Callithrix jacchus: one gene and its partners. The protein of the gene in region 1 purifies or fractionates together with the protein of each later gene. This does not show direct contact. Links are inferred from orthologs where the notes say so. Each region holds a gene or a part of one and is shown on either strand. Other genes may lie near its edges.

Region 1 (7,178 bases):
AAATTTGACTGGTCTGTGAAATCTAAAAGCCTAGGGACTCTTGGACTAGATAAGCTTTAAAGTCCTTCCAGATTTGAAATACAATTTTATGTGCCCTTGAAAGAGCTCATGGGAAGAGTTAAATCTTTTAATCTAAACCACATAATTATATAGCTTTTAAATAATACCAAGATGTGAAGGACAATAGAAATATTGTGTGGAGAAGGTGTGCATGTGCATGTGTGTCTTTGCGTGCACACATACTGTAAGTGAATCTTCTGGTATTGGAAGAATTCATTCCTCCTCACTTCCTCCCCTAAACAATGTAGGTTTAGGAGATCCCCAGAGCATTCCAGTTTTGCCTTGCATTCACTTAGTAGGAAGACTTGAATAAGCAAAATTATTGCAAGTTTCTAGAAAAGTTCTGGTATGCTAGATTTAGAATCGATAGACAGGGCCCTGGACCTAAAATAAGTCCCATTTGAACATCTCTTAGAGCTCAGCGTGGCTTCAGGAATGTCCCAAGATTTGGCAGTATAGACTAAGTAGGCCTTTTATGATGACATGTTTATCTCCATGTCCCCATGGTCTTTGAAATCTTGTGGTTAAGTTTTATTAAACCCCAAGTATGGGATCAGGCCATCCCAGTCTCTAGAAACAGTCATGGGAGCCCACTAGATTTTCCTCACTTCCAGTCAAGTTCTTACCATAGTAAGCCATTTGATAGGCTTCTGTGGGTCTCTCTAGTGACTCTTCTAGATGGGGCCAGTGACATTTGATGGCAGTTTCTGTCACAATGCACTAGCCAGCTACTGTACTTGGATTTTCCTTATTGCTAGCCTGCCCTCTTTAGATTGGTAAGGACCCTATTTAACTTTGCTTAGATGTACCTTATTCTGCTTGTTATTTACCTCCCTTTAAACTGGAGCAACATTCCTTAGAAAATCAAGCCTCTGACCATAGACACTTTACTACTGGAATTATATATATGCTTACAGTTGGAATTATATTAAGTTAGCATTTTTCAGAGTTGACCCATGGAAAATTAGTCCTAGAGGATAATCAACTTTAAAGGCTGTGCATTTGGGGGTGGAGTGGAGATTTCTAGTGAAATTAGGAAGCCAAGTATGGTTGCCCACACCTATAGTTCCAAATACTCTGGAGGCTGATGTAGGAGGATTTCTTGTGCGCAGGAGTTCAAGGCTGCAGTGATACGGTTACACTGCTGCACTGCAGCCTGGTCTTAAAGAGTTTGACAATGGTGTGTTCTACAACAAAGAAACTGTTTACCTTTGCTAAAACCAGTGTGTTCCAACCTTACCTAACTACTGAACTCATTTTTCTATATTGTATTTTATTGTTGACTGTCAATATAATGGCAGTTTGTAGATTTGTGGTATTTATTAAGCAGTTGTTCACAGTATACATACATAGGTCACTGTGTTGACATTGCCATGGTGATTGTGATCTATCATATACCTTCGCTGAGTATTCTCCTCATGGCGTACTTTCTCTGTAGTGAGTTTAATGTAGGTAGTAAATTAGTTGTGCCACTTTTTTTCTGAAACTAAACTTTGTGCTACAAGTGCCAGTTAGATTTGCAGTGACAAGAACTTCTGAGGAGTAGTGTCTCACCTGTAATAAACTTGAATAGTCTAGTCAGTGCCATAAATATTCTTGTAGGACTCCTTAGAAATACTTATTTTTCCTCTTGATTGGGAAATAAACAAATTTTATCTATTTCTTTTTACTTTTGAAAATGGGCCAGGCGCAGTGGCTCATGTCTGTAATCACAGCACTTTGGGAGGCCTAGGTGGGCAGATCACGAGGTCAAGAGATCGAGACCATCCTGGCCAACATGGTGAAACCCTGTCTCTACTAAAAATACAAAAATTAGCTGGGCTTGGTGGCACATGCCTGTAATCCCAGATACTCAGGAGGCTGAGGCAGGAGAATTGCTTGAACCAGGGAGTTGGAGGTTGCAGTGAGCCGAGATTGTGCCACTGCACTCCTTCCTGGTGACAGAGCAAGATTCTATCTCAAAAAATAAAAATAAAAACAACTAAAAAAGTTTAAATTCCACTATTGTATAATACTGCTTGAAGTAATTTAAAATTGCCTAAATTAAAGAATCATAGGACCTAACTGGCATTTTCTTAAGTTTCCTACTAATTGTGCGATCCTGGTCAGGTCACTTAAATTCTTGCTGATAGTTCCTTTGTGACATTTGTCCTATTTTTAAAATTAGATCATGAATAAGAAAATAAATATGTCTAATCTTTTTGGGGAAAAGAGAGTCCTGTGTAATAACTAAAATTTAGAAGGGATTTTAGTTAATAAAGGAGAGATAGGTTACCTTTGTTCCAGTAAAAAGTATTAAGTTTCATTCTTACTTTCCCAGCCCTGAATTTGGCATGTTGAATAGTGCTCTGAAAATTTCACAGCAATGAAAAACTCTTGAAGGAATTTCTCATTGTATTCTGTGCTGGTAGAGAATTCGTCCAAATGCCACTGAGATTGCCCAGGCACCAGTTGAGCATAATCAGAATCATGGGTTTCAGAAAAATTTTTAATTGTTTCTTTCTAAATAAGATAATTGGTTGCCCTACTTATCAAACCCACAGTTTTGTGTTGTTCAGGTATACTCACTTAAGGAGATAGTTTTGTTCCCCCGAACCTGTTTCTGGTAGACTTCTGCATGATTCCATCATACATGCACTGACATCCAGAACCTTAGAAATCATTACCCCTATATCTAATCTGTCAGCCTTTGGTTCCAACTCAAAAATACAGCCCCAAATCTATCAGATTTCCCCAATTCCATCATTGCCACCTTAATCTAAGCCCCTGTCATCTCTCCTTTACACTGTTGCAGGCCTCTTCAATGAGCTGCCTCCTCTGTTCTTCCCCACCATAGGCCCATCCTCCAGACAGAAGCTTGGGGTAGTTTTGCTTTGGTTTTAATGTAAATAATAATATGTCACTCCTTTTTGGCTTCCTTAGTATTTGAAAGAAAAATCTAACTCCTTCCTGGCCTAAATGGCCTGGCCACTGTGTGACCCTACTCTCCATAGCCTGTTTCTTCCCTCACCACCCTTGCACCATATGGATCTCCTTTTTGTTTCTCGAATGCAACAAACTCATTCCTGGAGATTTCAGCAATTACCACCCCTTCTCTCAACTCCTGACACTCTGATCACTGTCACATCACTCTGTCTTATTATTTTCCCACCATATGTTGCTCTTTGAATTTATTTTCTTTACTTAATTAGTCTGTTTGTCTTTCCCAAAAATGTGGACAATGTCTGCTTCTTTCAGTTTGCTGCTGGTCCTAGCATATGGAATGGTGCATAAATATTTGCTGAAAATACAATTTAACAAAAGAACAAAAGGAGATAATCATTGTAATTGTTTACTATTTTGTTTCCTTTTGATTTCTTATGATGATTTTAATGTCTGATTTTAACAAAATCAAATGAACCTCTTAAAAGAACCTATTTAAAGAAACATTATTGAAGCATATAAAGCCCAAGAACTGAAATGTTTAATCCTTGATTAGTAGAGTCTTACCCTGGAATCATGAAGTAAGCACTGGATACCTCCAATAACTGACAGTTCATTAAAATATTGTAGTCTAAATTATTTTCATGTGGTATATGCACTCCCCCAATGCCTCATTTACCAAAACTACTAGTATCCTTATTAGTACTATCAGCATTTCCACATAGTGTTTTAGAGCCTACCAGATGCCACATCAGGGAGATCTTATATACCTGCCAAAGTATATTAGCCATGTATAAAATGGAAGAAAGTAAGTCCTGTCACGAGTAGCAGCAGCAAGATTGAAATGGTGGGCATAAAAGAATAACACATCATCCTTTAATTTTTCATGAGAGACTGAAAATGTCAAACTGCTTTGGGATTTAATTCATTAACATCTTCTGTCTGGAGTTCTCTTAAACAGATTTTTAAATAAATGATTATTCTTGGCTGTTTTATGAAACAGTGGTAGATCTGTGAGATGAGTGGGCAGATCTGTATTAACAAAGATGTGTATTTGTTGACATGGAAGCAAAATGATAGGAGATAATTAAGAATCTGACTTATTCTAAATAGTTTGCATGTCTGAGCATAACACGTGTTGGAATTGTTTGATTTCCAGATTGAAGACTATGATGTGATAGCTAGCATGATAGGAGCCAAGTGTAAAAAACTCCGGACCCTGGATCTATGGAGATGTAAGAATATTACTGAGAATGGAATAGCAGAACTGGCTTCTGGGTGTCCACTTCTGGAGGAACTTGACCTCGGCTGGTGCCCAACTCTGCAGAGCAGCACTGGGTGCTTCACCAGACTGGCACGCCAGCTCCCAAACTTGCAAAAACTCTTTCTTACAGCTAACAGATCTGTGTGTGACACAGACATTGAAGAATTGGCATGTAATTGTACCAGGTTACAGCAGCTGGACATATTAGGTAAGGATACAATATATAAATTTGTTTTAAATGCCTATTTCCTTGACATAAAAGCTGGTCTCAGACTTCTTGTAAGGAGAAAGAAAATTTTTGGATACAATAAAAATTTTGTCCTGATAAGACTGCTTGGTTTGATAGAAAATGCAAGATAGATCTGTTAATATAGGGAATAATTATACATGTACTTTAATAAAATGGGACAATAACAGAATTTTATAGTTGAACCTATCAAAAACTCTAAATAATCATTAATTCTTGATCTAGTTGGAAGAGTGAAAATTTACATGAACTGTGCTTTCTATTTTTATTAAGGAGACAAAAGAAATACATTTGATAATGAATGCTAGCTAGTTTTTTTTAAAGTTTCTTCATTATTGATTAAGAAATATCATGATATCTTTATCCCTGATAATTCTAGCATTTAAGAATAGTTCTACCCCAGGCAGATCTATTTAAAATCTTTTCCAACTCTGGTATTTCTTATATCCTTACTGCCTTCATCAGAAAGTAACCCTATGTAATTTTGTTACTTCTTACTTTTAGCCAGGGGTGCTAGCAGTGTCACAGTAGTTATTGTCCACACAATTGGTACTTTGTGAACTCACATCGCACTTGCACATTTTACATCAAATGCATGGTGAAAATCATTTTGAACTGGGGTGACAGAAATAGGAAAGTCTGGAGGAGCTGATTTGAAGGGGTAGGAGGTAGGAATGAAGATAGTGGGTGGGATATTGGCAAGATTCAGGTCCTAGATGCTAAATTGTCTGGGAAAATTCAGTTTTTACTTTTTTAACAGAATGATTTCAATATGAAGTCTTGTTTGAAAAACAAATGATTTTAATTTGTAAAGGATTATTTATTTTAAGTTCATTGCAAATAATAAATCATGAATGGATTCATTGTTAGCACATTATATAAATGTTATACTTAATTTTTTTTTTCTCTTTCCTTAAATAGGAACAAGAATGGTAAGTCCGGCATCCTTAAGAAAACTCCTGGAATCTTGTAAAGATCTTTCCTTACTTGATGTGTCCTTCTGTTCACAAATTGATAACAGAGCTGTGCTAGAACTGAATGCAAGTTTTCCAAAAGTGTTCATAAAAAAGAGCTTTACTCAGTGACTTAATATACGTTCTGTAATAAATTTAATGTGCTTCGGTGGGGTTTTATTTTGGGATTGGTTTTGGGTTTTGTTTTTAGTTGTTTTAATGGTAAGAAATAAGACATTTGTAGGTTTTAAAGAAAATTATGAAATTGTTCATTAAATCAAGTAAAAATGTGCACAAATATTTCCATATAATATTGTAAGCACTTTTCTTCAAGAATATGTGAGTGGATGATATTATTTTTACCTTATGTTAATCAGTGATATTATGCTTTAGTAATTAATGTGATTGATAAAAGAATAACATGGAGACATGCTAACTTATTTTTGAAGGAACACTGAGCAATAAAGTATCATGGTATTTATGCAAAAAAAAGTTAATTTTTTACTTTGGGAGGCCGAGGTGGGTGGATCACAAGGTCAAGAGATCGAGACCATCCTGGTCAAAGTGGTGAAACCCCGTCTCTACTAAAAATACAAAAAATTAGCTGGGCATGGTGGCGCGTGCCTGTAATCCCAGCTATTCAGGAGGCTGAGGCAGGAGAATTGCCTGAACCCAGGAGGTGGAGGTTGCAGTGAGCCGAGATCGCGCCATTGCACTCCAGCCTGGGTAACAAGAGCGAAACTCCATCTCGGAAAAAAAAAAAAAAGTTAATTTTTTACACCTCCATGTAAAGATCTTATTCAGCCTGTGACCTGGCAAGTGTTTTATTTGGTATGTACAAAATGGTCAGAGCTAGTTGGAGAAAGAGACATGCTTTTCCAGCTATTTGGTTATTTCTCTAGATTAACTGTTCAACTGGAAAATTTGTAGGTTTTCTAGCCAGGTGTGGTGGTGTGTAGTCCTAGCTGCACAGGAGGCGGAGGCAGGAGGATTACTTGAGATGGGATTTTGAGATGCTAGTGTATTTATGATTGCACCTGTGAACAGCCACTGTACTTCAACCTGGGCAATGTAGGAGGTCCCTTTCTCTTAAAAAAATCAAATTGTAGTGTTTCCACTTTTCTTCTGATATATTTGTCTATTTCACTACTGGATAATACCAATATAAAAATATGGGTATAATCAAGAATAAGAGGTAAACTACTAAGTAAAAAAGCTTTCCAACTTTTAGAAGCAGATGCCTTAATATTTTGCCAGAGGTAAAGTTTTGAAGTTTCTGAATTATATGTATATTTTCCTTATATATTAAAAAATCATAAATGTGGGAAGATACATGTATATATATAAATTATACAAATAAAATGATTTTTCCTGTGCTCTGTGACCTTAAATATTAGAAATCAACTCTGGGGGGGGATACAGGGGGGACAAAAAATTAAAAACATACATTGTTTTGTTAAAAAATGAATTCTGCTACTGAGAAAGACAGATATTATTTTGTGGCATGAAAAGACACAGCTGCTTTGAACAGAAAACTAATATTAACTGTGTAGTATAACAAAATTCATTGTCCTACTCAGTGCAAAATGGTTATATTCCAACATCCACACACCCTAGAGTGAGCCTGTAGAACTGTGTCAGTATAGTAACCACTAATATTATGTGACTATTTTATTAATTTTAACTGAATTCAAGTAAAAATTTATATGTACTAGCTACATGTCAAGTGTTC
Region 2 (7,795 bases), on another chromosome or scaffold:
CTGGATACAAGCCCGAGCCCTTAGAATCCCAGGGCCTTCACTCTTTCCCTTATTCCTTTCAGTACCCCACCTCGCAGACATCTCTTGTGGAACGTCATGATGCATGCCTTCCTTTCTCCTAAAAGGAAAAAGTGGATTTAGGTTTGGAATAGGAGCATATGGAACAACTACAGAATGAAAAATTACTGAAATTATAAAAATACAGATCAAACGACTTTTTCTAAACTGGGACTAATTAATGACAAGCATGGTTTAGGGCAAGCTTTGCCAGAACACTCATGGTCACAATCTTCGCTGACATTAGTAAAATATATTCAGCCACTTTCATTAAAATGGAAGTAAACCTGATTAATCCTTTCCCAGTATCAGGCAATATCCTCTAAGGCCTGAAGCAACGGAAGGAATAAGATCCATGACAAAAGACTCTATTAAAAGGGTCTATTATTCCTTGCACCAGCATGCAACACTCCAATCCTTCCTGCAAGGAGGTGGAACGGGAAGAGGTGGCAGTTTGTGTAAGATCTGAGGGCTGTCATCAACACTGTGATGGCGAGGCATCTGGGAGTACCGAAGCCCATCCTCTTGGCAGCTGGAAGTGAGACACTTACTGTGACTGATTTACGCAGTGCTTTAATATTCCAGTGCACTGTCGGTATCTGCTTCTACTTGGGATGTCCGCCAGCATATCTGGCCTATCAGGAAATATTGCTGATAAAACCGCTGCCTCCCTCGCAGCTCAACAAAAAGCTACAGACTCAATGGCTAAAGCTAGACTGGACAACTGCACTGATTTCGATTATTAGCTGAGCGAGCAAGCGTAGGTACGGTGGCAAATACCTCTTGTTGTGCACACATAAACTCTTACCATTAAGTAGAAACTCACCTGGGAAAAATTAGAAGCTACTTGGCTACAAGTCTCTGAAGAAGAATCTCTGTTTAATTACCTGCATAATACTCTTAGTGGACTCCCTAGCAGAACAGGCTCCTTTTTTCATTCTGGCATACACATTCTCTTTTTTATTGTAATCCTTATGTGCATTGTACTTGGCACAATTTTTTTTTTTTAATTTTTTGAGATGCAGTCTTGCTGTGGACAGGCTGGAGAGCAGTGGTGTGACCTTGGCTCACTGCCACCTCTACCTCCTGGATTCAAGCGATTCTTGTGCCTCAGCCTACTGGGTAGCTGAAATTACAGGCACCCACCACCATCCTCAGCTAATTTTTAAAATATTTTTAATAGAGATGGGGCTTCAACATGTTTGCCAGGATAGTCTCGATCTCCTGACCTCATGATCTGCCTGCCTCGGCCTCCCAAAGTGGGCACTTGGTAACATTTTTGTTTTAATAAAGATGGAATCTTTCTGTGTCGGCCAGGTTGGTCTTGAACTCTCAGGCTGAAGTGATCCTACTGCCTTGGCTTCCCCCAAATGCTGGAATTAAAGCAAGAGGCACTGCCTGGCCAGCATTATAGTTCTACTATTGGAAATATTAATGCTGTGTATCTCTGGCTGTTTTCCTTTTTCTTTTTTTTTTGAGACAGGGTCTCACTCTGTTGCTCAGGCTGGAGTGCAGTGGCCTGATCATGGCACATTGTAGCCTCCACCTCCTGGGCTCAAGTGATCCTCCCACAGCAGGTACCACGATGCCGTGATTTTTCTTTTTTTTTTTTTTGGGGGGTAGTGAAGGGGTCTCGCCATGCTGCCCAGACTAGTCTCCAACTCCTGGGCCAAAGCGATCCTCCTGCCTCGGCCTCCCAAAGTGCTGAGATGAAAGGCCTGTTTCCCACACTGGGCTCGAGAAAACCAAAATCATGGCACTCCAAATACTAGGGCCGATTCAACAGCAAGAGCTGCGGTGAAATCCACGCAGTGACGGAGGTCTGGTTTCTCCGCGCGGTGATCCCGGTTCCGGTTCTGAGCACCTGGCGTCCCCGTTCGCTGTCGGGGGCCTCCGCCTTCCCCGCGTGGCCAGACCCGGCTGTCTGGGAAGGAGTATTTCGGGGGCACAACGCGACACCTGGATCTGGGTCGTCAATGCTTCCACGGAGAAAGACTCTTGGGAAAAAGGGCGGGAAACGAGCCTTTCCTCTGAAGAGCGCGCGCCTCCCTCCAGGCCCGAGGCCGCCAGGCCGGCTCCCCTAGCCCGGTACCCACCCGGCCCGGCGCCACCCCGCCCCGAGCCCCGCCCGCCCCCGGAAACCCCTCGCCGCGGAGGCGGACGGCGCGCCTCTCCGGGCCCCTGGGGTCCGCGTCTCCCTCGGGCGGATCTTCCGCCCCACTTGAGCCTCCGCTGCTCCTTGTGAGCGGACGCCCCCAGACACAACGGCCCCGCTGTTCAAGCAGGGGCGCCCCGGCCGGGCGGGCAGAGACCCGGGGGCGCGGCCTCGGCTCCGGCCCACCACTCGCAGCGACCGTACCGGCCCCACCGGCCGCCCAGGAACCGCAGCAGCTACGCCCCCGCACGTCCTCACGCCCCCCGCACGGACGCCGCTCTCCCCGCGTCCTCACGACCCCCGCGCGTCCTCACGACCCCCGCACGTCCTCACGCCCCCCGCACGGACGCCGCTCTCCCTACACGTCCTCACGCCCCCCGCACGGACGCCGCTCTCCCTACACGTCCTCACGCCCCCCGCACGGACGCCGCTCTCCCTACACGTCCTCACGCCCCCCGCAGGGACGTCGCTCTCCCCGCACGGACGCCGCTCTCCCTACACGTCCTCACGCCCCTCGCACGTCCTCACGCCCCCCGCAGGGACGTCGCTCTCCCCGCACGTCCTCACGCACCCCGCACGTCCTCACGCCCCCCGCAGGGACGTCGCTCTCTCCGCACGTCCTCACGCCCCCCGCACGGACGCCGCTCTCCCCGCACGTCCTCACGACCCCGCAGGGACGTCGCTCTCCCCGCACGTCCTCACGCCCCCCGCACGGACGCCGCTCTCCCCGCACGTCCTCACGCCCCCCGCAGGGACGTCGCTCTCCCCGCACGTCCTCACGCCCCCCGCACGGACGCCGCTCTCCCCGCACGTCCTCACGCCCCGCGCAGGGACGTCGCTCTCCCCGCACGTCCTCACGCCCCCCGCACGGACGCCGCTCTCCCCGCACGTCCTCACGCCCCCCCACACGGACGCCGCTCTCCCCGCACGTCCTCACGCCCCCCGCACGGACGCCGCTCTCCCCGCACGTCCTCACGCCCCCCCACACGGACGCCGCTCTCCCCGCACGTCTTCACGCCCCCCGCACGGACGCCGCTCTCCCCGCACGTCCTCACGCCCCCCGCAGGGACGTCGCTCTCCCCGCACCTGTTTCCCCACACTAGGATGGAGAGACCCTCCCCGCCCCGAAGCGTGGCGGCGCCGGGGTGACAGGTAGAGCCTAGCGCGTCCGCCGGTCCCACCGCCCCTCTAAAAGAAAACCCGGCCCACCGCCTGCCGCGTCGGCGACCCCGCAGCCCACTCGTCACGCGGCCCGGGACGCTCCGCCCGGCCTGGCTCACCTCAGGCGGTCTCGCCCGCGCCCGCGTCTGCGCATCCTTCGCCCCGCCCCTCTCTCCGCCTGCGACCCGCGCACCGCAGTCCCCGCCCCTCGCCCGCCCCAGGACCCGCCCCGCGCACGCGCCACACGTGCCGCACGCACCGCACGCCCCTGCGCACGCGCAGGTCCCGCGCCGCGGCCAATGGGCGTCGCGGCCGCAGATCCGCCCGGCCCCGCCCTACCCGGTGAGTTCCTCTGGCCGGGCGGCGGGGCTCCGCTCAGTCACCGAGCGCTGGGCCGCGGCGTCCCCGTGCCCACTTTCTCACCGTCCGCCGTCTACGCGCAGCCCGCAGCCCGCAGCCCGCAGCCCGGCGCGGACTCTGATCGCCGCAGCCGCCCTCCGGCGTCATGTCGCAGAGCGGAGCGCCGGGGATGCAGGAGGAGAGCCTGCAGGGTGAGGCCGGGGAGGCCGGGGGGACGCCGAGGGGGCGCCGAGAGGAGGCTGGGGGGTAGGCCGGGGCGCGCCGACAGAGGCCGAGAGGAGGCCTGGGGGGGGCATCGCGGGCCGACCGAGGCCGTGTCGCTCTGCTCTCCGGTGCCCACCCCTCCGGCGGGCGTGCGGGGCCCGGGGCGTGGGGATTCCGCGCGCTGCTCCGGGTTCGCGGCCCCCTGGCTGGGGCGAGGGGTGGCTTGGACCCGGGTCGTACCGCGCGGGGAAGCCCCAATTCTCCAGCCTCGCGATGGCTGGAATTCCACCTGGAGGTGGCTCTGCGTCTCCCAGTTGGCCCGGGCAGCCTCTTGAAGTCCACGCTGCCCTCCGCGGTCTGTAGTTCAGACCAGCATCGGTTTTGTTTATTTATTTGCCTTCGAGACGGAGCGTCGCTCTGTGGCCCAGGCTGGAGCGCAGGGACGCCACCTCGGCTCACTGCAGCCTTCGCCTCCCGGGTTCAAGCGACTCCCCTGTCTCAGCCTCCCGAGTATCTGGGGCCACAGGCGCGTACCACCTCGCCCGGCTAATTTTTGGTGGGTTTAGCAGACGAGGTTTCACCGTGTTAGTCGGGATGGTCTCGATCTTCTGACCTGGTGGTCCACCCGCCTCGGCCTCCCAAAGCGCTAGGATTACAGGCGTGAACCGCCACGCCCGCCCTAGCATTGGTTTTAATGAGTAAACACCGAGGCGTGGCTTGTAAGTGCTTTAGTTTTGTGGCTGCTGTTGAAGTCCGTGGTGACTATTGGGATTTCCTGAAGTTAAATGGGTGGGGGTGACAGCGTTGTTAGATTCTGGCATTAAATGGACTTGGTCCGATTCTCCTAGAGGATCGTTCCGAAACAAAGCTTTAAATGACCTACGGGTTAAAAATCACAAAAGGACGCCGCCTTTAGAGCAGCCAGTCGTTGCAGCCTGCTTAATGCCCGCGTAGAGGCCTGCTGTGCGCCCTTTGCTAGGTTCGCAGTACCAGCGGTTCAGGACTTGCCCCACGCACAGCCAGGTGGCATGGAGACCCTCCCCACCCGGTAAATACACGTGCAGAGCCCAGATGAGCCTTTGCTCAGGGAAGCGGGTCCAGAAGCTGCCTTCCCAGGGTCCCTAGGGCCCAGGCCTCGGGGGAGGGATGGTGGCAGCTGACCTTTGTGTTCTCTGAAGCCAGAGTTTACAAAGCAAAATTAGCAAGTAAATAAGCTTGGGAAAGGACTGCTGAAACCTCTGCCAATGAACTTTCAGTTTTCACGAACAGTTCTGAAAGTCATGTATTTACATTAAGTTTAGTGAGTTGCTAATTTTATTACAAAAGCAAGATTTTACTAGGCAGAACTTAGTTTCCATAATATATCGAATAATTTATGTATGTTTGAACACTACCATATTTTTTTTCACCTTTTTTTTCCTAAGAGATGAGATCTCACTATGTTGCCCAGGCTGGTCTGAACTGGGTTCAAGTGATCCTCCCGCCTCGGCCTGGCCTAGAACCATATTTTTAAAAATCCTGTAATTTGGATTTTTTCCTCTTGAAACGTAAACATTGGATAATTACTATTCTGAAATAGATTAAGGGGTATTTTTCTGTCTTTTGTCATAAAGTAAAATCCAAGAGATGTTTCCTTTGCTGTAAAATCACCCATTTTCCGTTTGTGAAGCTGAGTTACCAAGGACACGGTGTGTTTCTTTGACCGGCTAGGATCCGGGCCCTGGGAGGTGGAGGGGGCTCCGCAGGGGCTTGTTCCTCTCCAGTCCGTAACTTAAATAGGCTGCTGAGTCATCGGCAGTGCAAGACGATCAGCGCTGGAGTTAGGTTTTTGTTTTTCTGTTTTGTTTATTCTGTAATAAGATACTTAACGCGTGGGGTGGAACCCAGGTTGGCAATTCCTTGGGCCGTCCTGGGTGTCTGCGCGGCAGAATGGGGCCACCGTGGGCTCTGCGTGGGCGGGGTCGGCCGGTCCCGCGGGCTCCAGCCGCCTTCAAATCCTGCGCGGAGCCGTGGCTCAGGCAGCACTCACCCCGTCTGGTCTGATTTCTCTGTCCCTTGTTTACCTCGGAACAGGGAAGTGTGGGAGCCCTGTAGCCAGACCCACAGATGGAAGCAGCAAACACTCTCTGCTTGTACCCTCTGGGGTCAGCTGCTCTTCCTGAGGAGTTAACGGCAGATGGGCTGATTCTGTCCCTTCTGTCTCTTGATGATTCTAGCTAAAGTTGCTGACTAGCAGGATGCTCATATGTGTCCTTTTTATTCCTTACTCTGTCGCCCAGGCTGGATTGCAGTGGCACAATCACTGGAGCTCACTGCAGCCTTCAACTCGGCCGTTTTCCCGTAGACATGCCACTGCTAAAATGCAGGAGCGGTAGGATTCTGTGGTGACGCCGCCAGGGTTGTGGGGGTGGGGGCATTCCTTCCTTCAAGGACGCACTGTCTTCAGGAGGGCATCGGTTCAGTAAAGCGTTGGCCCATTTACTCTGGAGCGGCTGTGTTTAACGATCCAAGCCCTCACCCCTTCACCCACTGCTGTGTCTGCACCGGCAGATGGTTCTCTTATCAGAGGCAACTCACCATGGGCAGAGCTGTATGAGGAGAAAAATGTTTGTACTTACTTTGGAGGGGAATTGTAGCATTGTGCGGTTTTAGACCTGAAGGGGTTGCAGACGTCTAGATTCTCATCCAAGACGATGGTCACAGTGAGGTTCTAGAGGTGGAGTGAAGAAGAATGCCAGCAACAATAATTAAGGAAAAGCCGAGGACTCTGCATTAAGCACTGGAGGGATGGATACCTGGAGCCCAGATTGCCTGAGGCTGATTAGATAGCCAGGGTCCTGGAGGAGAGCCTAGCAAGAGGAAGGTTGAGCCCTGTCAGAAGCCAGGGACCTGATTTACCTGCCAGGCTGACATGAGGCTTGAAGTCTTTTGCCAGGGAAGTCTCTTTTGTTCCTCTTCCCATTAACCTGAGAAGCTTTTAAAGGTAAAAATAAAAGCAGTTTCCTTTTTTTTAAATTTTGAGATGGAGTGTTCACTCTGTCCCCCAGGCTGAAGTGCAGTGACATGATCTTGGCTTACTGCAGCCTCCCAGGTTCAAGTGATTCTCCTGCCTCAGCCTCCCAAGTAGCTGGGATTACAGGCGCGTGCTACCACACCTGGCTAAGTTTTTGTATGTTTAGTATAGATGGGATTTCATTCACCATGTTAGCCAGGATGGTCTCGATGTCCTGACCTCATGATCCTCTGCTTCCCAAAGTGCTGGAATAGCCAAGGAGCCTGGTCCATAAAACAGCAATTGCTTAGAGCCCACTTCCCGTGGGGAAGAAGCCCTTTATATGGTCTTGGGAGTGCTAGTTCCCTCTGGGGTTGACAGCTTCCCTGCTTCAGGCTTTTTTTTTTCTGGGGATGCTGGCTCCCTCTCTTCTGACATTTATCCAAGAGCTTTTTCAGTGTATTTGCCTGGATTCCACCCTAGCATCCCAAATAGTCGCTTTCAGAGTGGGCTGCGGCTGGGCTTTTGGAGAACAATGAACAAACAGCACAGGTGATTTTCCCTTCATAGCCAGAGTTGAGACTGTCATCCAGATGAGGGCAGAGGACGGCCTTGAGAACTGGCCCTGCGTTTACTCCACGTGGGGCTCTTGGCTGCAGCCGGTGAATCCGTGTTGAGGAGTGCAGCTAGGGCATTTGCCCTGGGACATAGAGGGGCAGTGAATCTAAGGGATTCCCTGGAGTCTGTCACTATAGAGAGAACTGCTTGGGGCACCTAGAGAAGCTGGATGTCAGATGACTTAAACCACAGAGTAAGAATAAGAAATGGATTAAGAACTGTTGTTGGATTGTATTTTGTCTCTGAGG
Region 3 (7,616 bases), on another chromosome or scaffold:
CAGTGATAAACAGGGATAGTTATGAACATCTGCATCAACTATAAGGAATGAAGATACAAGAAGAAAGAAACATACTAGGAGTAGGAGATGCAAATTCACCTCTTGAAATCCATGACATATAAAGGGGTGAAAATAATCAGCTGTATGAAAACTTAAATGACATTAGGTGTTCCAACAGATATATCAAATCTGATTTTGTGAACACAAAGTATACGTTCTTTTCAAATACAGAATAATCCCCAAAAGGGATCGCAAGTTAGGCCCCAAAGGTCACCAAAAAAAAAATACTCCCAAACTGAAAATAGTACAAAAACCCAATCTGACCAGGGAAAAACTCTTAAATACCCACATTAATAAAGAATGAAATAAACACCAGATCTAAGAAGTTAGGAAAGGTTGACGGTGACTGCCAATGAGTACAGCCTTTCATGGCGGGGGAGGGGGGGTGGCAAAAGTGTTCCCAAGTTAGACTATGATGGTTACACAACTCTGTGAATATGTAAAAAACATTGAATTGTGAATTTTAAGCGGATGAATTGTATAGTATGTGGAATATATTCCAATGGAGCTGTTAAAAAATTAGAATTAGGGAAAATACAATTAGGAAACAGGAATTTAAGACTCAATAAAATAGATAAACGATTAGGTAATATATTCAAGAAACAAATAGAGGACAAACAACATAAAATAAGAAATAAAGGTAACATCCTATAGAAACAGCTTTCCTAAAAGCACCAGGCCCCAGTCCTTCTGTACAGAATTACAATATTTCCTTAAAGAAAGTAATTTCAGTGTCAAGGAAACTTTCTAATTATTTTCAATAAAATGAATATAGTAACTTGGGTGAGTTGACTCATGCCTGTAATCCCAGCACTTTCGGAAGCTGAAGCAGGGGGATCCATAAGCCCAGGAGTTTGGGACTTGCCTGAGCAACACAAGGAGACTACATCTCTACAAAAAATACAAAAAATAGCTGGACATGATGGCAGGCACCTGTAGTTGCACCTACTGGGGAAGCTGAGGTGGGATGATCACTTGAGCCTGGAAGGCTGAAGCTGCAGTGAGCCATGATTGCACCACTGCACTCCAGCCTGGGTGACAGAGTGAGACCTTGTCTCAATAAAATAAAATAGCATATGATTAATAAAAACTTTTTTGAATGTTTAAAACCTTTTAAAAGGAGTTCCTAAAAGGAAAATAGAACAAAGTGGGATCTCGTAGTACTGACTGGGAAAACAATTCTATAAATATGTCAATAATCCCTCAATTAATCTATTAATCGAGTTCATTTCTGACCAAAATCTTAAGAGTTTGCAAAGGGATTTGATAAATCAATCCTTTTTAAAAAACCTTTTAGCGTGGAATTTTTCAAATATATTTAAAAAACTAGAGGAATACTTTAATGTACTACCTAGCTTCAATAATTACCAACATATGGTCAATCTTGGACAAGTCCACTTTTAAGTTTATCTGCAGCATAGTCATTAACATCTGAAAAAGGCAAATGCAGACAAAGTTTGTTAGCTAACAGAGGTATTGTAGGTAGCCCTGAAACAGTCACATTTTTGTGAGCATTCGGAGAGTGACAAAGGTGCAATTTCAAATCAGGGTAGACAGGATGGCTTAAAATTAGTATTATTGGATCAATGGGCTACAAAACTGGGAATAATTGAAGTTAAACAATTTACAGCATATGGAGAATAAATTTCAGATGGATTAGAGCTCTAAATGTAAATTTAAGCCTCTAAGAGAATTAGAAAAAGTTATAGGGGAATTGTAGATTAATAATCTTGGTGTTAAAGTCTCCTCAAGCCGTGTAAGAATGACAAATCTGATTACATGAAAACCTTAAGCTTCTACAGAGTGAAAAAAAATATTAAAAGACAAGTTACAGACTGAGAGAAACATATCACTCATAAACCAGGCCAAGGAGACTGGACAAACACGAAATGTATATCGCTCATAAATCAGGCCAAGGAGACCGGAGATGTGAAGCAGGAGGTATGTTTTGGAAAACATTTAATGTTACCCACGTACAGGATAAACGGCTTCCCACGTCATGTCCCAGAAATCGATTAGGGCATGGGATTTGGGTGATTACTTTCTCCTCTGTTTTCCTGATTGTTTTCTCTTTTTTCTTTCTCTCTTCTGTTTTCCTGAATTTTTCTTTTTTCTTCCTTTTCTTTCACTCTCTCTCTTTTTTACAATGATGCTGTGTTTGTAATTGACGTTTTTTAAAGTCTGTAGCAATTAAATTTGGGGGCGGCCTTCCCTTGTTTCCTGAATGGAGCGTTGATGTTTCAGCGGCTTTATCTTGAGTTTACTCGTGGAGGCACCTAGGTTTGGGGCTTCCTTTGTGTCCCCAAGACATCTATTGCAGAAGTGAGTCCTAAGAGGTAGAAAACAGAAGCATGCGCAGAGCTGGGTGAAGCAGTGTGGAGCTCGCGTGAGAGGAGGCTCGGGCGCTAACACATAAGCGCACTTCCTCATTCCGCTTCTCCTCATCTTCTCTCCCAGTGCCACCCGCATCACTCATCCCATCCGGTCATTCCAAGTCACACGCAAGAGTTCGTTCCTGGTGCGCGCGTCAGCCTAAGTCTCGCGTCTCCACTTCCGGGGCCCGCAGGTACACGCCCTTGCCCCGCCCGGTCGCCTGTTGTGTTGTCATCACGTGGCCTGGGCGGGCCCTGACGTCAAGGGGAGGGGAGGGACGGCGCAAGCGCAGAAAAGGGGGCGGGGGACTCGGCTTGTTGTGTTGCTGCCTGAGAGCCGGAGACAGTCCTGCAGCTGCCGCAGCCCTGCCACCCGCCTGACAATGTCCCACCTAGTCGAGCCGCCGCCACCCCTGCACAATAACAACAACAACTGCGAGGAAAGTGACCAGTCTCTGCCCCCGCCGGCCGGCCTCAACAGTGAGTGTGGGGCCGAGGGCTCGGTGAAGGGGATGGGGGAGGAGGAGCCGCCCCAGCCGCCGCCACCGGCGCGGCGCGGGAGGCGGGAGGAGAAGGCAGCCCATTGGCCCAGGCCGAGGATGTCCGGGTGACTGACAGCTCCCGTCACCTGTCAGGAGGAGGGGCGTCTGCCTTCCTCCGGGCCTCTCCGGTGCCCTCTGGGATCTTGGGGCCCCGGGCCTTTTGGGTTCGCGGTCCGGGATCGGCGGAGGTCGCGCGGATCTCCCTGGTGTGGGGGGTCCCCAGCAGCGAAGCCGGGTGGGGCGGGACGGGGGCGGGCCTGGGGGGCGGGGAGGCCGGGTGGGAGGAGCGGGCCGCGGAGGGGACGTGGGCCGGGATGGGACGTGCGGATGGGACGCCGGGGGATGGACGCGCAGGAGCGGGGTGGGGCGGGCGGCGGCCGTGGGACGTGTCAAGGATCAGGTGTGCGGGGCCCGCAAGCGGGCAGCGTCTGGCGGGCGCGGGAGCCCCCAGCGAGCATTCCTTTGTTGCCACATGGTCGTCAGGAAAATTCATTTACTGGTCTAGGGGTGGCTTGTCACGTGTGGGGTGAGAGGCTGTGCCTTGCTTTTCCTTTTTCCTTTTTTTGATTTCTCGAAGTTGCCCAAGTAATTTTTTTTTTTTTTTTAAGCGATGGGGTTGTGTGCCCAGTAAACCTGAGAGCAGCCTCCTGAAACACCCAGGACTGCACACATCAGGGAGTCTGGGGTCATGCATTTAAAGAAACGGAATTAGAAACGCAGTCGGGCAGTTGAAAGTCAACAGGCAGAGCTGATGGACTACCCAGGCCAGGGGCTTTTCTTAACATTCCGCTGCTCAGACGTGTGGTCCTCACATTTTTGTCAGGCGTTGTGAGAGCCAGGAGCCTTCTTGGAAGGATTCTTGCCTAACCTTTGTAATTCATCTCTGGGGAAAGAGGTAGTGGGGGCAGTGAGCATGTGGCCAGACTATGTCTTTTCAAAACCACTTGGTTGATTAAAGGTCGTGCAGTGTCTTTCGTAACAGGGAGGTTCTTCCAATGTGGCCTGAAGATTATTATTCCAGGGAAGGCAGTTGCAGCCCTCACCAGGTAGGGATGGAATCTGGATGTTTTAAGATGGATGCTGCTGCTTCAGGTTTTGATGGGTTAGCTCCCAAGACCTTCAAGTGTCATATATTACAGAATGTAAGATGTTTATATTATTTCCCGCAGCAAATTAGGATGAATGTATGTGTCTTTAAACGTTATTTGTATCACATATTCCTATGCAATTTTAAGTTATTTGCCCGTGTTTAGCGTACTCGCTTGGATTTTAGAATGGGAAGAAACTTCAGAGCTAGCTAGCTGCCTTCTGTTGTTTACCAGTAGAGAAACAGGTCTTGATTAAGGGGCCTTGTGTCCAAGTTCACAGCCAGCTGGGAGCAAAGCTGAGGTTCTGACATTCAGCCTGTCAGGTGCCTTTTTTTTTTTTTTTTTTTTTGAGTTGGAGTCTGGCTCTGTCACCTAAGGTGGAGTGTAGCTGCGTTTTCTCAGCTCACTGCAACCTCCGCTTCCTGGTTGGGATTCTCCTGCCTCAGCCTCGTGAGTAGCTGGCACTACAGGTGCCCGCCACCCACCTGGCAAATTTTTGTATTTTTAGTAGAGACGAAATTTCGCCATTTTGGCCAGGCTGGTCTCAAACCCCTGACCTCACGTCATCCGCCCGCCTGGGCTTCCTGAAGTTCTGGGATTACAGGCGTGAGCCAACGCGCAGCCTCTTTTCGGGACTTCTTTTCAGCGGTCCAGAACCAGGCTTCTTTTTAGTGGTCCTGCTGGTGTATATGTGTCTTATTTTGTCTGTGTTATTCTACCTGATGCACAAAGGTGACCCACCTTTCTGTCTCTTGGTAGTATTCTGTTTAATTGTGCAGTTTTCTTACAAGTGAAGATACTTGGTAGGTGTACATAATTTCACTGAACGCAAAGGGATTTTCATCTTCCTTTGACCCCTTTAACAACAACACAAAGGGCTAAGCCACGCAGGGCGTGGTGGCTCACGCCTGTTATCCCAGCACTTTGGTAGGCCGAGTTGGATGGTTCACTTGAGGTCAGGAGTTCGAGACCAGCCTGCCAACAAGGTGAAAAACCAACCCCCTCTCTACTGAAAATACAAAAATTAGCCTGGCATAGTGGCGGGCGCCTGTAATCCCAGCTACTCGGAGGCTGAGGCAGGAGAATTATTTGAACCCGGGAGACAGAGGTTCCAGTGACCTGAGATTGTGCCACTGCACTCCAGCCCTGGTAGCAGAGCAAGACTCTGTCTCAATGAAAAAAGAAAAAAAAAAGGGGGTTGAGCCATATGTCATTGTTTGTCTTGGTGTCTTACAGACCTATGACGAGTTTGATGTCTTTGGCCAATTTGTTCCTACCTGGTTGACTCTGGCTCTTACAGAGGTGGAATTACACTCAGGCTGCATGGGATATCAAAATATTGCTTTGGGAAATCTGCTAGGTAGTATTTTATGTGAGATAGGGTGAGCTTCCTGAAAAGCTTTTAGATAATGCCGTATTTAATTACTCCCTTCCTGCCTCTTACTCTGTTCGTTTTTTTAGCTCATTACACAATACTGGACTGAAGAAAACAAGAGGCCTCATTGATTCCTTGAAGTGATTTTTGGGTACTGGGCAAAACAACTTGGGCATCTAGTACTGTCCAAATTGCTGATAAGTCGAAGTATTTTGTTGGGTAAAGTTGCACAACTGAAAACAGGAGATGAAATGTACAGATTATCTTGGGTTTGGGATTGTATCTTTGGTTCAGGGGTCAAAGCAGAGTTTCAATAGCAAATTATTGAAATATTTGAATAGTGAAGTATTTCTGTGATTTTTTTTTTATAAGTTTACCGTTATGAAGAGACTGTTCACTTTCATTACAAATTACAGGGCAGATACCCAAACTCTTGCCAAGTCAAAAGGTTGTTGTCCAGTTTGTTTTATTAAGAATTCTTAACTGTTTAAAAAAAAAAAAAGAATTATTAACTGTTAACTTCCTTAAGAGTATTTGAATAAGATTCAGTGAGTAAGGAAAATCAAAGCAGTAGTATAATTCTTGTTGAGACATATAGCCTTTTTTTCTTTCCTTGTTTTTATTTTTATTTTTGAGATAGAGTCTTGCTCTGTCACCCAGGCTGGAATGCAGTGATGCAGTCATAGCTGATTGCAGCTTCTACTACCTGGGCTCAAGTGAGCAGGTAGCGAGGAGTATAGGTGCACGCCCCCACACCCAGCTAATTATTTTATTTCTTGTAGAGATGGAGTTTCACTTTGTTGGCCAGGTTGGTCACTGGCTAACTTATTTTTTGTAGAGATTGAGTTTTGCTTTGTTGCCCAGGCTGGTCACAAACTCTTTTTTTCTTTTTTTAAATAAATCTTCAACCATCATGTGCCTGCTTTCCTGTTATCAAGAGTACTCTTAAGGCCTTCATGAAGTGTCCCTGCCTCGTAACAATGTTTTGAATACCTATGTAACTTGTGTGTAAATACTTCTACAAAAAGACCAACATTTTTTTTTTTTTTAGAAGAATGTCAGTGACTCTTGTTGGCCTGGTCTGGATTCCTTTCAATAATGAATGAAAGGCTTTGAGGAAAGAATGTAAATATAATGAAATATGAAAAGAGTTCTATGTGGGCCTTGAAAAGTTAGGGGGGAAATTGAGGAGAAAAACTCTTCATTTTCTCCTCCTCGTGTCCCAAAGCTCCTCTCCTCCCCTTATTGCAAGAGGACTGAACTAGTGATTATAAAACTGTAAAGATGATGCAACATACATTAATGAATGTAATCACAATTACTAAACCACCCTTCACAATCTGTTACGTTAGAGAATGGAGAAGCATTCTCTTAGTCATTCCCTAAAACCCAAACCAGAAAATATCTCATGCCACTGCATATTTTGTGCAAATTAGCATAAGGAACGGCTCTTACTTCGTTTGTAAAGTCTAAATCATAGAGAAGCTTCCAGCTTTTAGTCTTCAAGCTTGATTGTTAGGAAGGGAATTCACTCTGTGGTTTTCTACTTTGTATCGCTTGGACAGCACAAACCTCTTATCTAGCATTGCTTCCTTTCCAAGTAAAACTGGACTTTGTGAGGGTTGGTAGAGTTAGAACACTAAGAAGTTCTGAGTTTGTAAATCAGGAACGAATCAGGTGATGAGACAAAGACATGTTGTTCATCTGTTTTGCTCTTCTGTGTATTACTCAAAAGATTAATATGTAGCCTCTCAATGCCTATGCACATAACTTTCTCTGCACTATGTATTTCCATAGATGATATTTTTGGAAGCAAATTACCGAGTTAAAGGAAATTACCCTTTTAAGGCTCTTAATACCTATTGTCAAATTATTCTCCAGAATGTTCACTGAAGCGCTGCTTGTAACAACAAAGTATTAGAAACAAGCATCTGAGTAGGGGTGACCATTGCCATTTAGATAATGGTGAAAGGACGGTATATCCTCATCAAAGGTGAGATGCAGTGCCGTTGTTCAGAAGAATTAATGTCAGTGTGTACTGATAGGGAAGACATCTGAAAAACGACTTACAGATTATGTAAGTACGTGTGTATGGTACAGTTTCATTTCTTTATGAAAACAGACATGTTTCATTGAAAAAAAAATCAAAATCTCCATGTGAAACTCAAAAGTGACTCCT
Region 4 (7,784 bases), on another chromosome or scaffold:
AATGGTTTTACAAATTTTTGCAAGGCCAATGAGTCATAACATCACACCCAATTTAACAATAGCCCCAAAGTTCCAGAACTGTTCATGTCTATGCTATCAGTGCCCAATTACTCTCCCACAATGTTACAAAAAGACCAGGAAGAATAAGCTCATTCTTGGTAGCAGATCACAGTTCTGCATAATGAATTCTGCCATAATGATCAGATATCAGTCTTTAAAGCTTTTCATTTTAGTCTCTTCTAGTCTTCTTCCACCTTTTATAAACCAGTCAAACCCTCAGGGAACATTTGGTTAAAAGCTTGAGCTCTGGAGTTAGCCAGGCTTAACCACCTTCCTAGCCCTGACCTTCACCGCTCAAAGTCTCAGCTCCTTCACCTGTATTCTGTAAAGTGGGTTAAACCATAGTGACTACACTTCAGTGGGCACTGTAAGGATTTCCAGTGGAAGGCTGTACGTGAATGTTGACGCATGCAGTACGCTAGTCACTGGGGACAGATGCTATCACAGCCTCCCTGTCCCAAAGGAGGGCAGTTTGGTGGGAGAAACCACCAAGTACAATCAAAAGGTTAAATATTGTGATAGTGACACAGGCAGGACACCACGGGAACCCAGGGAAGGCTCCCTGAGCCGTCAGTGAAAGAAAAGGCAAAGAGTCACATCTTGAATGGAACTGCAACAGCACTGAAGCGTGCAGGGAACACTAGGAAGGGCAGAACAGTGCTTACTTGGTCCATGTTTCCCAAGGGAAAAAATATACATCAAACTTAGGCTTCACAACCCTGCTTTTCAAACATGAATACAATACTTGATGTTCTTTGAGACCGTTTTTCCCAAAATGCTGTTAATGTTCAAAGCTGTGGCATTCCCATGGAATCCACATACTTTGAGGGCCTAAGGAAATCAACAATGTCAATTAAAAAACCATCTCATTTCACAAATGAGCAAATACTGGCCCTGCAAAGGTAAGCTTTAACTAGACTCAAGTCCTCTCTCCCAAATCAAGACGCTCTATACCTAAGCAAAAATAAATGACTACATCTCTCCATCACAGAATTTTTAGAAGTGAAATACCTCCATGCATGAATAAAAAACTTAAGTCATTAAATGTTATCATCCTGTTTATAGTGTGCTTACTCAATGTTCATTTTATAAACAAGAAACTTCTATAAAGAGGAAATTATGTCCTCGGCAAACACAAGACTTTTACCCAAATTGGATCTACTTCCCATTTAATGTTCATTTCTTCATTTGCAAAGCAAACACACGGATAAACTCCCAGATATTTTTAAAAAGCAAGACAAACTTAGAATTGGCCCTTCAAATGGTTAACTCTTTTCTCCAGACATACCTAAAACAAGTTCAAAATGAACCTGACAGTCCCCCAAAGACACTTTATTCCAGAGTGACTCAAGGTCATGGCTTTGGGACCTACAAAGGGCTGAAACAGCAAAACAAAACAAACCAAAACACCTTCATAAGTTCTTATGGTCCTAATGTTTTTAATTTGAAGAATGGCAAGTAACAACTCCTCAATTTAAAGTACATTCATTTTAATTTTCCATGCTGAAAGACAGACACAATGCCTCTGGGTATACTAGGAATGATATTCTGATGAAAGGGCCTCAGTGACCCAGGGATGGTTCCTCCCACAGCAACTTCCTATCCCACTTCAGCAGAACCAAGGGGCTGGCCTCACCTTTCCAACAAGGAGACGCCTCAACTACCAAACTGCTTCATTTCAAAGGCAAAGCTGGATACTCAACCGGGGGTGGGAGGACCTGATCCTGATCGCGTTTGATTGTGTTTCCAAAAAAAGTAAAAAAAAATTCCGCATCTTAAAACTAGTTTTAATGGGAAAGAAAGCTAAAGTTTCACAACTTGTTCTCTCTTGGCACTTTCCTGGACTTCACAGGTATAGAAAACCTGGGCATTTTTCTGTTGGGGCCCTGTACTAGATACTGGGGGGCTGTGGGGAGGTGCGAAGTGGAGAAATGGGAAGGGAGAGTGGCAAAGGAGAGATGAGAGAATCGATTTTACTTAAGTGTATAATAAAGCTTGCATTCTTAACCGGCTTAAGTGCAACGACTGTGTTTTCTGCAGCCAACAATCAGGGCATGTTTTCAAACACTAAGTTAGAATTATTCCAGAAAACTCACTCATTCAAAAATAAGCAATTGAGGCACCACCATAACCAAGTTGTTACTCTGGAGACGCAAAAATAAACAGGGAATATCCCCTGCGCTGAAGGAATTCAGAATCGGAAATGTATGGGAAATAAGGCTGTATTGTAGTTAATTACAGCTAGAAGATAACATTCAGTAAGTGGCAAGAGTCTAATGAACTATAATATCTAAGGAAACCATGCAGAATCAGCTCAGGCATGCGTGTCTGTCTTCTGATGTGGTACACACATTGGGAGTGGGGGGTGGGGAAGGACCTGAGCATGTGGCTCTCAAGGAAGGAAGCTTTTACAAATTGGTGAAAAACCCTAGCATATTTAAAGTTGGTTTGTTGTCTGACAAAACAGTTTTTAAAAGATGAAGCCAATGAGGAAAGAAGTTTAACATATTTAGAAAGCAATTCAGCCATCCCTCTCAAGCTTAAGGAACACTCTCCTGAAACCTCCAAAAATGGGCATAATAGAGTTAAAGCGAGCCAGTCTTGTGTTTGCATGCTTTGGAATTTGAAATGCAATGCAACTATTTCGACTCACCATGGAAAACAACAAATAGAACCTCGAAGTAAAACATTTTCCAATATCCAAAAACCTCCTTTAAACAAAGAAAAATCTCATCGCCAAATATTGTTTTCAAACAAAATGACTGGTTTTACATTTTAAATGTCATTACATATTTTACTACATAATCCACTCTCCAGGATTTCAAAAAACTGGGTACATTTTCGGGTGCACCATGAAATGAAGTGTTAAACTTAAAACTGCACACACTTCCGCGAGGCGTTAGGTCCTAGAAGCTCCTGGCTTGAAGTAAAAAAGGAATCTAGTTTCTCTTCTGCCGCTTCGTTAAGATTATTCCAAAAAGTGTGATCGTTTACTCCACTCAGAACTTTTGACGATTTTAATGCTACTACAGGAAAGAGCAATTACACTGAGCAAATAAATATTTAAGAAGACTGCAATTCAGCATTTGTGCACTTACCACGAACGCCTACTACGAACCAGAAGCAACCGAGAGTGACCCAGTCGGAAAAGAGAATCCTCTTTTTGGCAAAGCCAGCCAGGCAGAAAACCTTAACTTTGGGGATTCATTTCAAGCAGTGTCTACAAGCATTCCTCTCTTTCTTAATTATCTTACGTCTGCGCTACACAATATTGCACCGGTGGCAGAAACAGGGGTCTTTCAGATCTTGGGGCAAAAATCGCACGAACCCCGAGCCTGGGGACCCCAAGTCCCCGCAGCTTGCGCTCGCCCGGTTACCTCCAGGGTCATGGCGCGCGCTCCCGTTGGGGCCGGGGGCGCGCCGAGGCCGCGGCGCAGGGCCCGGCCAGACTCGCGAGCGCTAGGCGGGCGCCGTGGGGCTCCGTTCGGTTTTGCCGCCGGGCTCCCATCTCTGAGCGCCAGCCCAGCCCGCTCCCCGAGGACAACTGGGCAAAAGGACGGCTGTTAGCCAATAATAGCGTCCTGCACGGTCGCAATAATGCAGGCGCGGAACCCGAGAGCCGCGGGCAGGGAACCGGAAAGCGAGAGAGCCCGGCTTGGCGGCTGGTTGCGCGCGCGAGCCCGGGGCTCACAGGAGGGCACGCGTCGGCCGGAAAGCGGCGCCGAGGAGAAGCGTGGTCGTGAGGGCGAGAAGGGGCAAGGGCATGGGGTCCCGGTGTCCCGCGGAGATCGCCTCACGAGGCGAGGCGCGAACGCCCAAGTCGCCCGGGGCCATACGCCGGCCCAGCCTCCGCGGACCCAGCCCGGTCCCGACGGGGAAAGGGGCCGGCGCCACCAGGCCGCCGCCTCTGGGCGCGATGAATCGGGCTTTTTCCCAGTGCGTAGTCCGGGCCTGGCCGCCCCGGCCCGTCCGGGGTGACTCAGGGCCCAGCCCCGCTCGCTCCCCTGCCGCCCCCGGCGTCCTCCGCCCACGAGCCCCCGGGCCCGGCCGCCATTCTGCCCGGCCGCGTTTCGGCGGCTCAGGCCTCGCCCGGCGCCTGGGCTCGGCAACCGCGGCCCGAGTCACTGCGACACCGCGGCTCGGGGCCGGGCCTGCGCCGCCGCCACCACCTCCTTTCGGCCCTGCGGCGGCCGACACTCACCCGCATCTCCGTAGTGCCCAAAAGGCTCCCGCGACGCCTCCGCCTGGTCGCTGGGCCTGGGCCCCGGCGAAAGCCCCGTCCCGCCAAGGTCTGGCTGCGTCCCTCAGCCACCCGGGCTGCCCCGCCTGGAGCTGCGTGCGACACGGAGCCCGCCTCCTCCTCCTCCCCTGCCCGCCCGGCCCTCCTCCTCCCGCCGCCGCCGCCGCCGCCTGCACCACGCAACCTCCGCCCTCTCGCCTTCTCTCCACGGCTCCCCGCCCTCCCGGCCTCACCGGCTCCGGCGACCGCGGGGGAGAAGCTGTTGGGGGAGGGCCGGAACGCACCGCCATCGGCGTCCGGGGCGGGGGAGCCGGGAAACCGTCGTCGCCATCGCCCCGCCAGCCCGAGACGCGGGAGGGGCCCGGAAAGCTCCCGCCCGCCCGCCGCCCCGGGGGCGCCCCTTCTGTGGCCGTGGCCCCCGCTCACGTGGGGCTCTTTACCTGCGAGCCCACGGCCCCTGCCCCCTGACACCCGAGCCATCCCCGACCCGGCGCGCTGGATCCTCCGCCAGGTTTTACAGCCTCCCTCGCCTTGGGGCCGCCGCGGAGGACCCGTTCCCGCCACTTCGGACCTCGCCAGCGAGAATGAGCTGCTTGGGTCGGGGACACCACCAGCCTCTGAAGAAAGGGCCCGAAGCACCCCAAAGGAGAGGGGCTCGCAGTCCTCCTGCCCCTCCCCTGTGCGCACAACCCCCGTCCCCCGCTGGCCTGGAACTCGACTCCCCACTTTTGTCGACCGGGACTGGGGGATGCACCACAGATCAGAAAGTCAGAGGTGGCCAGGTGCCTCCCAGAATCGGCGCGGACTTCCAAGGAACGTGCAGCTGATTCTCGACCCCCCCCTTAACACCTGCAGGCCTTAGGATTTGGCTCCAGACACATTTTATCTATGTGTCTCTTTTTAAAAATCACTTCTAAGGTCAAACCTAACTAGGCTTTCCCTCTTCAGACTCTTTCACTAACTGCTGTTTGGCAGATTTTGACATTTACTCTACCCTTGGTCTTTGGAAGGACAAATCAAAACTAGAAGGCTTTGATTACATATAGGGATGGCATGAGGCATGATGTAAAATAGTATTTTCACGTGTAGTTCGAAGTCATCTCATTTGAAATTAACTGTCATAATTGGCTATTTGGAATATTCACACTAAATACTAATTTTGGCAGCACAAATAGCCACCTGCTGCTATGGTGACGGGCTGGAGGAAGCGTGGTGGCCCCCCCGCACCTAGTGAGGGATGGCTGATTAATAGCACGGCTCACAACGTCACCGAGCGGCTCATTCCACGAACAACCCCCGGGGGATTTCGAATTCTGTCATCTGGGCAAAAGATGTGATGAGTGTAATTTTGTTTCCTCCAAACTAAAATGCTACACAGATTCCAGTACCACTCGGGACAGAAGGCCTCAGTCAGAGCAGAGGGCTGTCCCCAGAGTCCACAGTTTACTGCATAACATGGGTTTGTCTCAGAAGAAACATCCCACTGGTCTATGTGATCCCCTCTATCGAAATGTCTTGGCCGGGCGCGGTGGCTCATGCCTGTAATCCCGGCACTTTGGGAGGCCAAGGTGGGCGAATCACGTAGGTCAGGAGTTCGAGACCAGCCTGGCCAACATGGTGACCCCCCCCCCCAGTTTCTACTAAAGATAAAAAAAATTAGCCAGGTGTGGTGGCAGACACCTGTAGTCCCAGCTATTTGGGAGGCTGAGGCAGGAGAATTGCTTAAACCTGGGAGGCAGAGGTTGCAGTGAGCCGAGATCATGCCATTGCACTCCAGCCTGGGCAACAGGGCAAGACTGTCTCAAAAAAAAAAATGTATTTTGTCTACATCTAAGTATCTGTAATAGTAATGCATTTGTCACTTAGGTATGTCATAATCCTTTCATTTGTGCAGGGTGTTGGGGTGGGAAATATTCTTGGCCTCCTATTCTGTGACTTCCTCCAGCTAATAGAAAGGCTGAGTGGGTCAGCCTTCCCTTTATTGTATGTTTCCTTTGCCCTCTGTTTTTTCTTAATAGGAGTATTTGGTTCACCTACACCACCCTCCCTCTTCTCACTGCCTCCGAGATTCCTGGTTCTTAACTCCTTTCTATTCTTTACCCTCACCTGCCTACACGATCATTCTTAGCAGCAAATTTATTCCATTGACTTTTATGTCCACTTAACAACCAGATTTGCATTTACTTTGGGCAGATAACCTTGCCTCCTGCCTAACAGGTCAAGGCCACCTGCTGCTCCCTTTCTACTTTAAAACCTCCTTCCTCCATCTTTCTCCCCCAGCTCAGCAAAATCGATGTCCCTCTCAGATGACCCAAAGTTTGGAGGGATAATTAATTTGATGGATGTCAGAATCAAAATTCAAAATAGTCTGAACAGACTAGAACATTAGGCCAAAAGCAGTGACATAAAATACAACTTTCAACTCGACAATATGATGTACTAGTTGGAAAAGCCCAAGTTTTAGATTTTAGTGGGCTTTGGTTTATATTCAGTTACTCAAATTTGAGTCATATCCAGTAACTCAAATTACTAATTTTTGCTCTAGTTAAGTCAACTGTTAATTTGGGATAAAAATACCTACATCATAAGAGTGTAAAGAGTAATTTCTTCATAATTCGTGGAACATTCACCAGCCATTAGTCCCCCCTCATCTTCCACAAAGTGAATGTGCCTGTTGCCATTCATAGCACATTCTTTAATTCATGCAGACCTGGAAACAAACTCAAAATCCTGGCCCATTCACCTTGTATCCCAGAGCTGTCACCATCCTAGAGAAATCCTTTGCCTGTTTTGAGTCAGTCATTATCATCATACCCATTTTTCATTTAAAAAAAACTTAAGGCTCAGAGATGTTAGGCAATTTGCGTGAAATCGCTCAGCCTGATCAGTGCATAATGTGACCCGGTGACTCACTTCTGTATATATCCACTCCTTTACTAAGATATTCTCCCACACTTTTGTTGGTTCTTTAACCTTCTAAATGCTCTTCCTGGTTCTTACCTCTTCTTTATCCTTCCGCTTGTGTCATGACTGATGGCAGATTATTCCTTGTAAATTGATACCTTCATCATTATAATTTTGTCCTTCCAAACTTCAGTAGTTCCATATTGTGTGTAGGGTTCAATCCAAATTTGGACCTGGCACTTAAGGTTTACCATATCTTGTCCTAACTTGCTTTTCCAAATTTATTTCCTGCTACTTCCCAAAAGGAACTCTCAATGCCATTCAGTTGTTCCTCTAACAGGTACTGTTCCCCCTTCTCTCCTCCAACTCCAAATCATGCTCACTTTTCTTTTTTTTTTTTTTTCATGCTCACTTTTCAAGATCCAGCTCACACCCCCCTCCCAGGAAGCCCGCCACCTTACACCTTCTACTCAAGCTTTGTGACCTCTCCCTGATTGCCTTCTCACATGTGCCTTTAAACTAGGTGGTCTGTGCTGTGGGGTCAGAGACAATTTCGTAATGTTCATCTGCCCCCTCAGCA

Evidence for each region.
Region 2: the proteins of FBXL4 (region 1) and BNIP3 purify together in Homo sapiens (affinity purification with western blotting; 4 studies listed by BioGRID, with this or other methods). This does not show direct contact. The link is inferred for Callithrix jacchus from reciprocal best matches to the Homo sapiens genes FBXL4 and BNIP3.
Region 3: the proteins of FBXL4 (region 1) and BNIP3L purify together in Homo sapiens (affinity purification with western blotting; 4 studies listed by BioGRID, with this or other methods). This does not show direct contact. The link is inferred for Callithrix jacchus from reciprocal best matches to the Homo sapiens genes FBXL4 and BNIP3L.
Region 4: the proteins of FBXL4 (region 1) and CUL1 purify together in Homo sapiens (affinity purification with western blotting; 4 studies listed by BioGRID, with this or other methods). This does not show direct contact. The link is inferred for Callithrix jacchus from reciprocal best matches to the Homo sapiens genes FBXL4 and CUL1.

The regions. Positions count from the first base shown.
Region 1 is NC_133505.1:104,904,754-104,911,931, reverse strand, and holds the end of FBXL4 (F-box/LRR-repeat protein 4), read left to right. Parts: intron 1-4,141; coding exon 4,142-4,454; intron 4,455-5,414; coding exon 5,415-5,578; 3' UTR 5,579-6,822; downstream 6,823-7,178. UniProt on the Homo sapiens protein: Substrate-recognition component of the mitochondria-localized SCF-FBXL4 ubiquitin E3 ligase complex that plays a role in the restriction of mitophagy by controlling the degradation of BNIP3 and NIX mitophagy receptors.
Region 2 is NC_133513.1:125,282,559-125,290,353, reverse strand, and holds the start of BNIP3 (BCL2/adenovirus E1B 19 kDa protein-interacting protein 3), read left to right. Parts: upstream 1-3,750; 5' UTR 3,751-3,878; coding exon 3,879-3,924; intron 3,925-7,795. UniProt on the Homo sapiens protein: Apoptosis-inducing protein that can overcome BCL2 suppression. May play a role in repartitioning calcium between the two major intracellular calcium stores in association with BCL2.
Region 3 is NC_133514.1:15,174,153-15,181,768, reverse strand, and holds the start of BNIP3L (BCL2/adenovirus E1B 19 kDa protein-interacting protein 3-like), read left to right. Parts: upstream 1-2,749; 5' UTR 2,750-2,815; coding exon 2,816-2,912; intron 2,913-3,136; exon of another isoform or gene 3,137-3,209; intron 3,210-3,290; exon of another isoform or gene 3,291-3,500; intron 3,501-3,932; exon of another isoform or gene 3,933-4,020; intron 4,021-7,318; exon of another isoform or gene 7,319-7,514; intron 7,515-7,616.
Region 4 is NC_133512.1:99,020,386-99,028,169, forward strand, and holds the start of CUL1 (cullin-1), read right to left. Parts: upstream 4,920-7,784; 5' UTR 4,741-4,919; intron 4,653-4,740; exon of another isoform or gene 4,534-4,652; intron 4,389-4,533; exon of another isoform or gene 4,262-4,388; intron 3,607-4,261; exon of another isoform or gene 3,159-3,606; intron 1-3,158. UniProt on the Homo sapiens protein: Core component of multiple cullin-RING-based SCF (SKP1-CUL1-F-box protein) E3 ubiquitin-protein ligase complexes, which mediate the ubiquitination of proteins involved in cell cycle progression, signal transduction and transcription.